Linked DNA regions of Xenopus tropicalis. The protein of the gene in region 2 purifies or fractionates together with the protein of the main gene of each other region. This does not show direct contact. Links are inferred from orthologs where the notes say so. Each region holds a gene or a part of one and is shown on either strand. Other genes may lie near its edges.

What was found.
Region 1: the proteins of mob1a (region 2) and pja2 purify together in Homo sapiens (affinity purification with western blotting; 3 studies listed by BioGRID). This does not show direct contact. The link is inferred for Xenopus tropicalis from reciprocal best matches to the Homo sapiens genes MOB1A and PJA2.
Region 3: the proteins of mob1a (region 2) and lats2 purify together in Homo sapiens (affinity purification with western blotting; 9 studies listed by BioGRID and IntAct, with this or other methods). This does not show direct contact. The link is inferred for Xenopus tropicalis from reciprocal best matches to the Homo sapiens genes MOB1A and LATS2.

What each region holds. Positions count from the first base shown.
Region 1 is NC_030677.2:173,952,934-173,956,587, forward strand, and holds part of pja2 (E3 ubiquitin-protein ligase Praja-2), read left to right. Parts: intron 1-795; coding exon 796-972; intron 973-3,087; coding exon 3,088-3,273; intron 3,274-3,654.
Region 2 is NC_030679.2:121,264,760-121,268,939, forward strand, and holds the start of mob1a (MOB kinase activator 1A), read right to left. Parts: upstream 2,849-4,180; 5' UTR 2,844-2,848; coding exon 2,830-2,843; intron 2,220-2,829; coding exon 2,053-2,219; intron 1-2,052. UniProt on the Homo sapiens protein: Activator of LATS1/2 in the Hippo signaling pathway which plays a pivotal role in organ size control and tumor suppression by restricting proliferation and promoting apoptosis.
Region 3 is NC_030678.2:157,816,465-157,820,118, reverse strand, and holds part of lats2 (serine/threonine-protein kinase LATS2), read right to left. Parts: intron 2,719-3,654; coding exon 2,227-2,718; 3' UTR 1-2,226. UniProt on the Homo sapiens protein: Negative regulator of YAP1 in the Hippo signaling pathway that plays a pivotal role in organ size control and tumor suppression by restricting proliferation and promoting apoptosis.

The DNA of each region.
Region 1 (3,654 bases), on a different chromosome or scaffold from region 2:
AAAAATACGAAAAAGTTGCAAAATGTTCGTTTTCCAATCGGAATTTTTCCAATTCGGATTCGAATTCGTGTCTTAGTAAATCAGCCCCTAAGTGTAGTTATTCTGTGAAGCATTCATGGTGTTTCCTGTAGAAAGCAAGCTGTTGTGTGACATTGATTACTTATTGCTTACATCTTTGCCACAGACATCTGTTCATAGAAGAAGGCATTACATTGTGTATACCATTTGGTTCCTTTTTCAGATTATAGTTGAGCAAAGTTGTTGCAAAAAAACAGTTTCTGTTTGTGACAGACCAAAGAGATATACTTTATGCTAGCATACTAAATTCTATATCCGCTTTAGAATGAAGCAGTGGAATCATTTTGGTTTAATATGGGTTATAGTGTATTTTTTTATTGGAAACCACACAGTCAAGGAAGCTATTTTGTGAAGGACAAATTACCATTTAATGGGGTTGTGTGACTGCTTGGGTTTACAAAGCACTTACTTTTGAAGTAGAAGTTTCTAATTATGCTTTACTCCTGAAGGAAGAATAAATGGTCAAACTATAAACCAGTTCAATATCCAACAGCAACTAATCAGACGCTTGCTTTCATTATTCTAATTGGTTACTGGAATAGAGGACTGTTTTGACCTCTTGTTGTTTTCACGGCCCAAAGCTGTTAAGGATAATGTGCCTATAATTCCAAAATCAATACTAATTAATATATAAAAGCAAATACTGGAAAAATAAAGCTATCGTTTCACTGCTAGTAAAGTAATGAACTAAAAAAAGCTAATTTTACTTCATGTCAGCTCTGTCTGCAGTGATGGAGAATGGTCTACATGCTTGCCTTCATATTTTTCTTCGGACAAAGACCATTCGTCAAGTGATGATAGCTGGGAAACACTGCCTGGAAAAGATGAACACGAAGTTCTTAGTAACAGCAGTAGTCTGGAAGAAGAAAATTCTGACTTTTGTTTTCAAGTAGAGTATGTATTCTTCATTTTTTTTTTAATGAATATTTATGTAATGTTGTAATCGTTTTTATATGGATAATGATTTTTCTGAAAGCCAAACAGCAATGTTAGAGCAATCCTGGAAAAACCATTAGTGTTATAATCACTACACACAACCAGGATACTGCTCTAAAACATATTAACCTTTTTTAAACTGTTGAAGTTGATTTTTGTGTTAATTAGATGGTATAAATGGACACTACCATGAACATGAAAAAAAATCTTATTTAATAGTATAGGGATGGTATTAGCCAACACCATCATAAAACTGTGTTTTTTTAATGGTTTGCTTAAGGTGTGAAATGCAGGTGCAAGAAAAATATTTAAAACATTGAAATTTATAACAATGGAGTATTTGACTGCTAATCATCCCTCATACAGCATGTTGTATGAAATCTATTTGTGTTGTAAGGAGGATTTGACATTCTTTCAGCAGAATAGCTTCCTTCTACTTCTTTATGTCTCAGTAAGAATATGGATATTGCCTTTGCTACAGGATTTGTTAAACATTGTCTTAATGTTCCCTTTACCAAAATAAAACACTGCTATAGAGGAATTATCATTTTCATAGCATCTGTTGCTAGTAAAGTGCTTTTGATGCACATGATTGCTTAATATGTCAACATAGTTAAATGTTTTAACCGCACTGTGAAAGGTGATAATAGGACCCAATCATATTCCTATCAGACATCCATCTCCATATTTAGCTGTTGGTGCTGGGCACGGCAGATTGTAGGCTTCTTTAGACATTATTCAATTTGTAAAGCAATATTTTGTCTTACCACAAGACCTGTTTCAAAGCATTACATTTAAAACATTATTTGATCATTATACTTTTGCATTTAGGTGGGGGTTTTTTTATAGGTTTTAGGTTTGAAAAGCTCTTGTCCAATAGCTCTTGTATTTTTCACATGAGTATTGCAATTTATGACAAATGTTTTTATAAAGTGAATTTCTTTAAGTTAACATTTTAAAGCACAATTCTTCCCAAATGCTATTATAACGAAGGGCACAGTTTTTCTGGTTACAGAGTAATATTTTTTTGTCATGGCCTCTGGGGATTTGTCATTTTAGGAATTTAGACAAGTCTGCTTTAAAAATAGTGAACTAAAAATAGTTTACAAATACAAAACATTGTGACTCTATATCGCATAAGTGACACAATCGATCTAAAGTTACAGTAGACATAGTGAAATGTCTGTACTGTACACCAGATTGTTTACATATTTTGCCTTCCCGCTGAATATCAGTCTTTTATTGCACCTTTTAATTCAGTTACAAAGATTATCAGAAATATAGTCCATACAGGGTCCATGGTCCAGAAAAGTCAATACTTGGACTGACTTGAGATCCTGGAACAAAAACAAGAGGAGTCAGTCACAGTCCATAGAGCATACAATTTCTTTCTGAAGCTGGCCTTACTCAGATTTAAGTCTTCTTCCGAAGAACGTTTGTATGTTTACATGCAACAATCTAAAACTAACATTCAGATTAAAATTGTAGACTAAAGTACTAAAAATAACAAATAAGTGGATGTTCTGAACATAAAATAATTAGCAGATAATAATCGCATGAAAGTGACGGTCCAGAAATGCATTGTAGGTCACCCAAGGATATCGTCAGATACACAATACATGCAGAGATTTTATCGTTAAATGAACAAAATTTTCTAACCTGTCCAGTCAGCTGAACAACGATTAAACACCACAGTCCAAAAATCACACAAAATGTTGTTTAGTACAATTATATTAGTGTGTAAATGGCCAGCTTTAGAATACTCTGCAATGAAAATAATCAGGTAGAACAGTGAAAGCAAAAATCCTATTGGCTGCTGTGGGGTTACTGGCCAAATATGCCCAGTTTTTATAAATAAGTCCCAGTGAGTATTGGCAATGGCATATTTTAAAGCTGTTGGCTTTGTATTGCACAGTATTTGTGCATTTACAGTTCATTCAAGAGAAATTAAAGCACCTCTGACACACATGACTATTGTTTCCGTGTCTACGAGCCCTAAGGGTTTTTTTTTTTGTTCAAAGTTGATTTTTGTGACCATTCTTTGTTATTAAAAGTATCCAATGCCCTTTTTAGGGAACAAATTTCCTTGGAAGATGGAGAAATCCCTTGGTTGCAGTACCATGAGGATATTGAAAGCAGCACCGATGAAGAAAATGAAATAAGTAACCAGTTTGTGCATCCTGGATTTTTCATGTTAGATGGCAATAACAATTTGGAGGATGATTCAAGTATCAGTGAAGACCTGGAAGTTGAATGGAGGTAAGCCTAGAATTATATGCTCTCTGTTTGTAGAAAATCTTAAAGATTGTCATTGTTTAAATTGATTCTGGATAGGAAAACATATTTTTTACAAAATGCATGATTTAGTATCACTCCTCCAGCAGAATCCTGCATTGAAATCCATTTTTCCAAAGAGCAAACAGATTTTTGTTTCTATTTAATTTTGAAATTTTGACATGGGGCTAGACTTGTTCTTAGTTTTTCAGGTGCCCTCAGCCATGTGATTTGTGCGCTAATAAATTCTCTTTACTGCTTCACTGCCCCCCCAACTCCCCACCCCGCAGCCGATCATCAGAACAGTGGGAAAGTAGTAAGATAACAGCTTACTGACGTCTGAATTGCTAAAATGTCCCATGTCCC
Region 2 (4,180 bases):
GATAGAAAAAAAGAGAGGTCAAATAGCATTTATGGCTCTCTATTACAAATTTTACAAAATATTAGTAATGTAGAATGCCTAAGGCAACTGGCAAGCAAAAGCTAATTGTGATACTGGCTAACTTTTAATTATATTTTTGCGGATAAACGTAATCTATATTTTCTTTACAACACATCCAATACCCCTATTTACACATATTGGACTTGCACACAAAATACATTAAGCAGAAAAAAATAGCAAAAAATACACAATACCATCAAAGCTAACAGTCACAACAGTAGAGGCAATATAATAAGGCAGTGCAATCTAAAAGCAGCACCTAAGAGTTTAATACATAACAGTAAAATGCAATGCAGGCAAACAAGTGAAGAAGGAAGCAGACACCCTGACCAGAAAAATGTGGATTACCATGAAGTTCTGGCGTAAAAACTTTATCAAGGGGAATTCACAACCAATACAGCTAAGCTGTTTCTGTGTAAAGCAACACATAAGGCCAACAGCATATGGGAAAACAACTAGACTGTCTGCCTAGTATTTTACTAGCTATAAACGATCCAGACAATCGCCCAATGTGCCATAGGCCTAACTGTATTACAGATATTAAAATATTTTATTTTACCAGCACCAGAATATGGTGTTTACCGTTTCCTCAATATGTAATACAGGTATGGGATTCATTATCCGGAAACCCCGTTATCCAGAAAGTTGCAAATTACAGAAAGGCCATCTCCCATAGACTCCATTATAAGAAAACAATTCAAATTTTTTAAAAATGATTTCCTTTTTCTCTGCAATAATAAAACAGTACCTTGTACTTGAGCCCAACTAAGATATATTGCATCCTTATTGCAGCCAAAACAATCCTATTGGGTTTAAATGATTTTTTAGTAGACTAAGATGTGGTGATCCAAATTACAGAAAGATCCCTTATCCGGAAAGCCCCGGGTCCAGAGCATTCAGGATAACAGGTCCTATACCTGTACACACAAAGTAGTTTATCTGTGGCAATAAGTCTGGAAACATACAGTTCACCATTTCAAGACTACAATTGTCTAACAAGATGTACTGTTGGGTGATTAATAATTAACACAATGTCTTAACACCACTAGAGCTTATAAACTAACTTCCCTACCCAAATTACACAAGCAATATTGTCAATTTCATTAGAAACCAAAAACATATAAATTATACAAATAACAGATTAAAAAAAGAATACTAAAAGGTGGGTGTTACATCGTATGTATGTTTATACAACAGGGAGTTAAAATAATAATAAAGACAAAGTATAACAATAAATACAAGGTACAGTTTCAATAAGTTAAGAATTACAGAGACAAGAGGATGGAGGTCCCTGCTCCATAGAGCTTACAATCTAAATCTACGTTATGAAAGCCCCTTTAAAACTCCCTTATACTTCTACAAATCATGTTACTATAAATGGGCAAAAAGACTCCTTATGGCTGGTGATGGACTCTTGGTGTGAGTTAAGACTAAGGCATGCAACCACAGTTCAGTTCCATGGCATGCTACATAATGTCAGTAACTAGCAAATCTATCAACAGAAAACCACTCACTTGCTGACCCTCTTACCTACCCTTACTGATCCGCTTGGGGCCATGACAGTACCAAATAAAACTAGTTGTTAAACTGGTAATAGGAATATTTGCACAGGTTTGTTTAACATGCATGAAAGCTCTTGTCCAAACATTGTCTCCTCTAAAATAATGTCCTCAGGGAAAAAAAAAAAAAAGTCAACTAAACATTTGAAGAAAAAAATCTCCTTGTAACATTATAAACCTTGTACATCTTACGCATGGTGACTACACAATAACCTCTTTATTAACCCCTTTACTCGGTGCCAAGCTGGAAACACTAATTTTTCCCTCAATTTAGTAAGGTAATCTTTGTGAACCCACAATGAAATCAACTTCGTAGATCAAAAATTGCCCAATATAAAAAAAAAATATATACATATACACAGCCTGCGGCATCAGCGGGGGGTCATTTATGAAGACTGGGCAAAGAGAAGCTGCCATTACTCTCTACACTTACTATTAACTGCAATCCACTCATTGAGATCCTCCCCCTCGGGCAGCATTACCGCTTGCCTAAGGTTGCCGCTCCCGAGCGTAGCCTCCGCATGCTTCAGCAGCTCGTACTGGTGCGACCCCTCTGGGATGTTCTTCTTTGGTTTAAAGGTTTTTGAGGATCGACTGCTGCTGGGGAGGAAAGTTTAGAAAGCGTCATCCTTTCCAGATATTTATTTAGACATCTGTAAATATCCAGTTTAAACCCTGTCTACTAACAGCACCCTGCCTGGCCTGGGGTTGGAAACAGGACTTGTCAGTTCAAGTACAGGAGTCCCAAACAGCCCAACCAATAGTGACTGTCTGTGCAGCAGCAGCTGGCCACAATCCAGAGCTTGCCAGCCCATGCTTGCCCTTACATCGCAGCTACACTGTCACCCCCATTGCTCTATGCATATAGCCAGCTGATGTGTGCAACTCCTGTGTGCAACTGCCAGGCTCCCTGCGTGAGGAGCTCCCATTACAAAGGGGCTGACGTCTACAAAGTGCAGCAGAATGTCAGCCCTGTGTAAATAACAACAAATACACCCCCAACATTCCCCTCTTCCGCTTTGTAAGAGTTGTAGCACAACAGCGGGAGTCAATCCGGTAGGATACAATAAAAAGTAAGTTGAAGCGATGTCTTTTCCGCTTCGCTATAAACTCCCTTCCCACGGAGTCGGGGCCTCCCCTTACTTCCTTCCCCCCCTACTTATCCATTCCTCGTCTTCCCTCTCGCAATTTTAGCCCCCCCAAGACTCACAAGAGGAAGCTCATGTTGGCCGGGGGATGGAGACACAAATCTCCAGCCCGGGCAGCAGCAGCGGCTTCTCAATATAAGCACGGAGAACACAGGCACGAAACTCTCCCACTCCACTTCCGGCCGAGCGCGCCCACACGCTGGCTCTCGCGAGATCTCAGGGAGCGAGTATTTCCCCAGAAGCCACGCCCACTGATTTCATAGGCTGGGCCGAGACTGACATTCAGTGGGAAGTTTAGCTGGATATGTGACGCTAATGTTCTCCAAGCTGCGCCCCTATGGGTTTAGGGGACTCTGTGTCATTTTGAGTGGTCTGACAAGCTTTTTATCTTTCCCTGATACCTCTTTCTTATAATTAACAGGGAACAGTCATGAAAAATGTTTTTATCATCTTGAAAATATAAAGTCTAGGCAAACATTTTGACAATTTATAGTTTTTAAAAATGTTGCAGCGTTACAAAGTTATTGAATTATTGAAAAGCAAAATGCACGGAGCAACTCCAAACATCGCTGCATAAAATCACCGTTTATTGTAATCACTTAAGATGCAGCTTTTGAGAAAGTGGCGTGACGCCACGAAACGCGCCAAGCGTATAATCCCCATTTTTGGGACACTCATATGTATTTTAAGTGATTACAATAAACGGTGATTTTATGCAGCGATGTTTGGAGTTGCTCCGTGTATTTTGCTTTTCGATGGATCCTTGCTGTCTGGGTGTCAGCAACACGTCTGAGCATGAACAGAGCTGACCGGTAAGTGCTCACGTGATATGTTTTTGCATTGAATTATTGAAGCAGCCTTCATTGCCCCCGCTGCTTGTGATTACTCGGCGGGGGCTATCGCTTCACAAACCCCCCCCCCCAGCGAACTGCGCATGCTCGGCAAAAACGGGGGGGCGGGGGCTTGGGGGTGCATTAGCTCAGGTGTAGGGGAGAGGGGGCCAACCGGGTTGCCTAGGGCGCCCGGTCGGCTCGGCCCGCCCCTGATTTTCAGCAAGGAAAAATCACTTGCCAAAAATCGCGCCATACGCCTCCTACCTGTGCCTGCTCCTGAATGAATTAAATACGCTCAGGTGCAGGCACATGTAGCCAATATCCGCCAAAAATCTCAAGACTTCATATCTTTGGCGGATCATTCATTCAGGTGCAGGCACAGGAAGGAGGCGTATGGCGCTATTTTCAGGTTGCCAAAGATATAAGCCAAACGCCACGTCTGGCATTGGCTTTTGGCAGAGAGGCCAGAAATCTTAACGAGCGTCACCTGCACTTGTTTCTTGCTTTTAATTAAATAAATCGTTTTTGGCAGAGAGCCCTGAAAGGTAAAAAGCCCCACCTGCACTGAGATACAATTGTA
Region 3 (3,654 bases), on a different chromosome or scaffold from region 2:
TAATGAATTATTTGCCTCTCTCATTGGCCTGTTTCCAGCTTGCAATTTAATATGCTGTTGTGGGTTGCTGACTCTGGAAGCCAAAAACCTATTGCTGTATGAGGCTACACTTGTGTTACCTTTTATTACTTATGGTTCTATTTAGTCCCTCTTCTATTCATCTCATTCCAACCACTGACTGGTTCCTATGGTAAAGTGGACCCTAGCAGCTAGGTTCCACACTGGAAAGCTGCTGGACATAAATCCAAACAATAAAAACTGAAGACCAATTGCAAACTGACTCTTTTAGTATCTGCCTACATTAAAGTTAATATATAAGGCCAACAATCCCAAAAAAGCTGGATCTTATTAAAGGGTACTAAACTGTAGTAGATGTTTAATCAGTATCACTTTTTTAAGCTTTTTCCCAGATATTTATTGTTTTGTGATTTTTTTTTTTTACCTTATTTCCTACTGCAATAGGTCACAGACTGACTTTTTGGTCTAACGATATTGTCCAGCACGGATGGTTTGGAATGCCCAGTCAGTGTGAGCTAGGCTAATGCCAGACGGGACAGATTCTTGGCCTGCGGATAAAGACAAGTCGAGAACCAAGCTCTATGCTGGCATCAGCCTGTCCCTGCACCCGGAGCCATTGCAACAGCCCAGGGCGGGCCACATGGAGCAGATTTCAGTAGCGAAATGCATATTTGCACATTTCAGTGCTAAAATCTGCTCCAGCCTTGCTAGACATACATCTCGAGCTTGTTTGCTGTTGTGTGAGGACTGTTAGCACATCAATGTGGTTCTCATATAATGGGATTTTCAGACCTGCCCAATAAATATCTTTTTTTTTTTTTTTTTTTTACCGGATATTGATTGGGCATGCGAAAAAAGGACCAATAAGCTGCTCAGTTTGGAGGGGCCGAACCAACAGCAATTAACAACTCAAAAAATAAAACCTATTTGTCATACATTAAACATTCACTAAAGTTTGTGTATATGTTTATAGCCAGGCCAGTTTCCCCTTAATAACAATGACCTGCTAGCTTAATCTACAGTACAAGGAAGAGCCATACATTTTTCAGGAATCCATTTTGTTCTTTACATGTTGCCCTTGCCCTGTATATTGCTTTGCATAATAATAACTAGTAGTTCTGAAGGGCTTAAGCCTAAAAGGCCCATATGTTCATCTTCTACTGTAGAATTAAGTGCTGATGTGAATATCAAATGTTCAGTTGACGAGGATGTTTGTTTCAAAGTTACATTTCCATGTAGATGGTAGAAATATGGGTATTAGAAAAGTGCTTTCTATTATTATTAGGTTATTGCTGAGAAAAAGCACTATTAGAGCGAGTTATCTCAACCAACATGGAATAAAATCTGGAAGAGTCTGGAAAACCACAGATCCAAAGATCCAGTTCATGGCGAAAGCTTTTCTTGCTGCCCAACTCATAGCCTGTAGAAAAACCACTTTGCTGGTTGGAAATGCATCTCTCTTAATATTCCCAGCACAGATAATAAGGATCTGGCTGGAGAGAGTCAATGATAGATCCCAAATACACCATTACCTGTCCTGGTGCAGGGGGTTAAGTCCATTGAGACTGAGGAACATCCTCACAACCTGAAGGAGTAAAAGAGCAACGTGCAGAACATGCAAGCACGGGAAGGGGACAGTATTTACATGCCCCTGATAACAACGTGACATGCTTGTCTCTCTGTAGCTGTGCAGCTATCTGTTACGCGGTACTGTAGTGCTTTTGTGTGACCAGCTAAGAATTCCCAGAATTCCACTCCACCCAAAGGAAGCGAGTCCATCTCCACCACCCAAACGCAGACTGATTTGCTTTGGTTTATCAGTGAGGAATTCAGATGTCCTGTCTTTGTGCATATTTGACAATGAGTTTACATTTCTAATGATGAGGGAGTGTTCATCTGTACCTGCGCGCACACACGTGCACCACAGGAAACATACTCCACCGAACACTTTATTCTTTAATACTTCTGCAGTACTTATGATATTGCACCACTAAAACTGACATATGTTAACCCCTTCTGCTATGAGAAGGCTTTTGAGCCTTGTTATCAAAGAGCATCTTCAAATGAGCCCTAGAAACACACAGGCAAGGCATGAATTTAAGGCACCAGTAATGGTCATGGCTAAAATATAATATTCCACCGGAAGAGCCAAGCACCTTCAACAACGTGAGGGTAATTCAGTGTGAGCATAATATCCATTCTGAGCTCTCACACATACACAGGCTGGCAGCCTTCTGACTCCCTGGAGGCATTTTTATCTTCCTCCTCGGTTTCCTCGCACGACGAGGTCTCTAATTTGGAAGGCTTGGGATACCGAAAGGGGTAGCCATGATCATCGAAGAACCGTCGGAAAGTGAACTCATAAAAGGCATGCTCGGTGTGTTTGTTTCCTGAACTCATAAGAGTGTCCCAGGTCACAGTGCTGTCTCCACTGTCATTGCATGGATTTTCCTCCTCCACCGGGTCAAAATTAGAGGTATCCATTGGGTGACTGATTTTCGGAACATAAGGTGCTGGTTGATGTCTAATATCAGAAGAAAAATCCATTGAGATAAAGAAGGGGTGGGCCTTAATTTCATCTGGCCCATTTCTTCCAAGTCTGTCTTCAGCCCCGCAGCACAACGCTGTGATCAGATTGGTCGCCTCGGGACTCAGGTTGATCTGGGAAGGAATGTGAAGGGTGTTCTCCCAATGTATGACCTGGAAAAGTAAACGGATTGCGGTTAGAGCAAGAAACAAAGAAGCAGTAAAGGGTGTACAAAAAAAAGGTACATTTTAAAATCATATACACTGTATATGTCAAGGCTGTTTTTTTTATTTATTTTTTTTGGAGAGTGATATTACAGCTATAGAAAACTGCAGGAAAACAGCTATTAATTATATAAAAGGCAACTGGCTCCACTGTAAATGGTCATGTAAACAGTAATGTTAAAACTACCCTTTTTATATTATATCATTATATATTGGGGCCTAATTAGTTTTGAGTGGATAATTAATATGCTCGATGGGAAAACTTAAACATCACCGTACTAAGGCTGTAAATCTGAGGTCGGAGGATATATGGTGGACTTTTATAATTAGGCACTTAAAAAGAATCTTAGCCCATGATGTAAGCAAAAAACCCCTGCACAGACCCCTCTGCCCAACCAGACTCTCCCTACCTGAGCAGAAGAGGCAGAAAGGTGTATCTGGGTTGGCAGCTGCCATGTCTGGTTGCATTGTGTCCTGCCCCTGGCTCCCAGGCACTGATCACTTAACAGGAGCATGTGTAGTAGAAGCCAATCTGTTGCTTCTGGTGTGCATGCTCCTGGTCCTAGATCACTGCCACAGACATGGACAGGAAGCAACGCAGTCATTTCCTGGTACACGCAGTGCTTTGTGTGTTAAAAATGGCAAAATACCTGCCTGTTGAGTGTACAAGAGGTTTACTTGTTCATTATGTTCATTTACGCAGCACTGTTGCAAAAATTATCATTCCATTCCCATCAGTCCCTGCCTCAGAGGCAGAGGTCCTTGTCACAGTCACACACTATGGGGCACGGGGAGAACATATACAAGAGCAGAGGATGCCCCGCCCTTTCCCTAAATACGTGCTGTAGTGTGGATGTGCTGGAGGAGATCACATGAATGGATCAG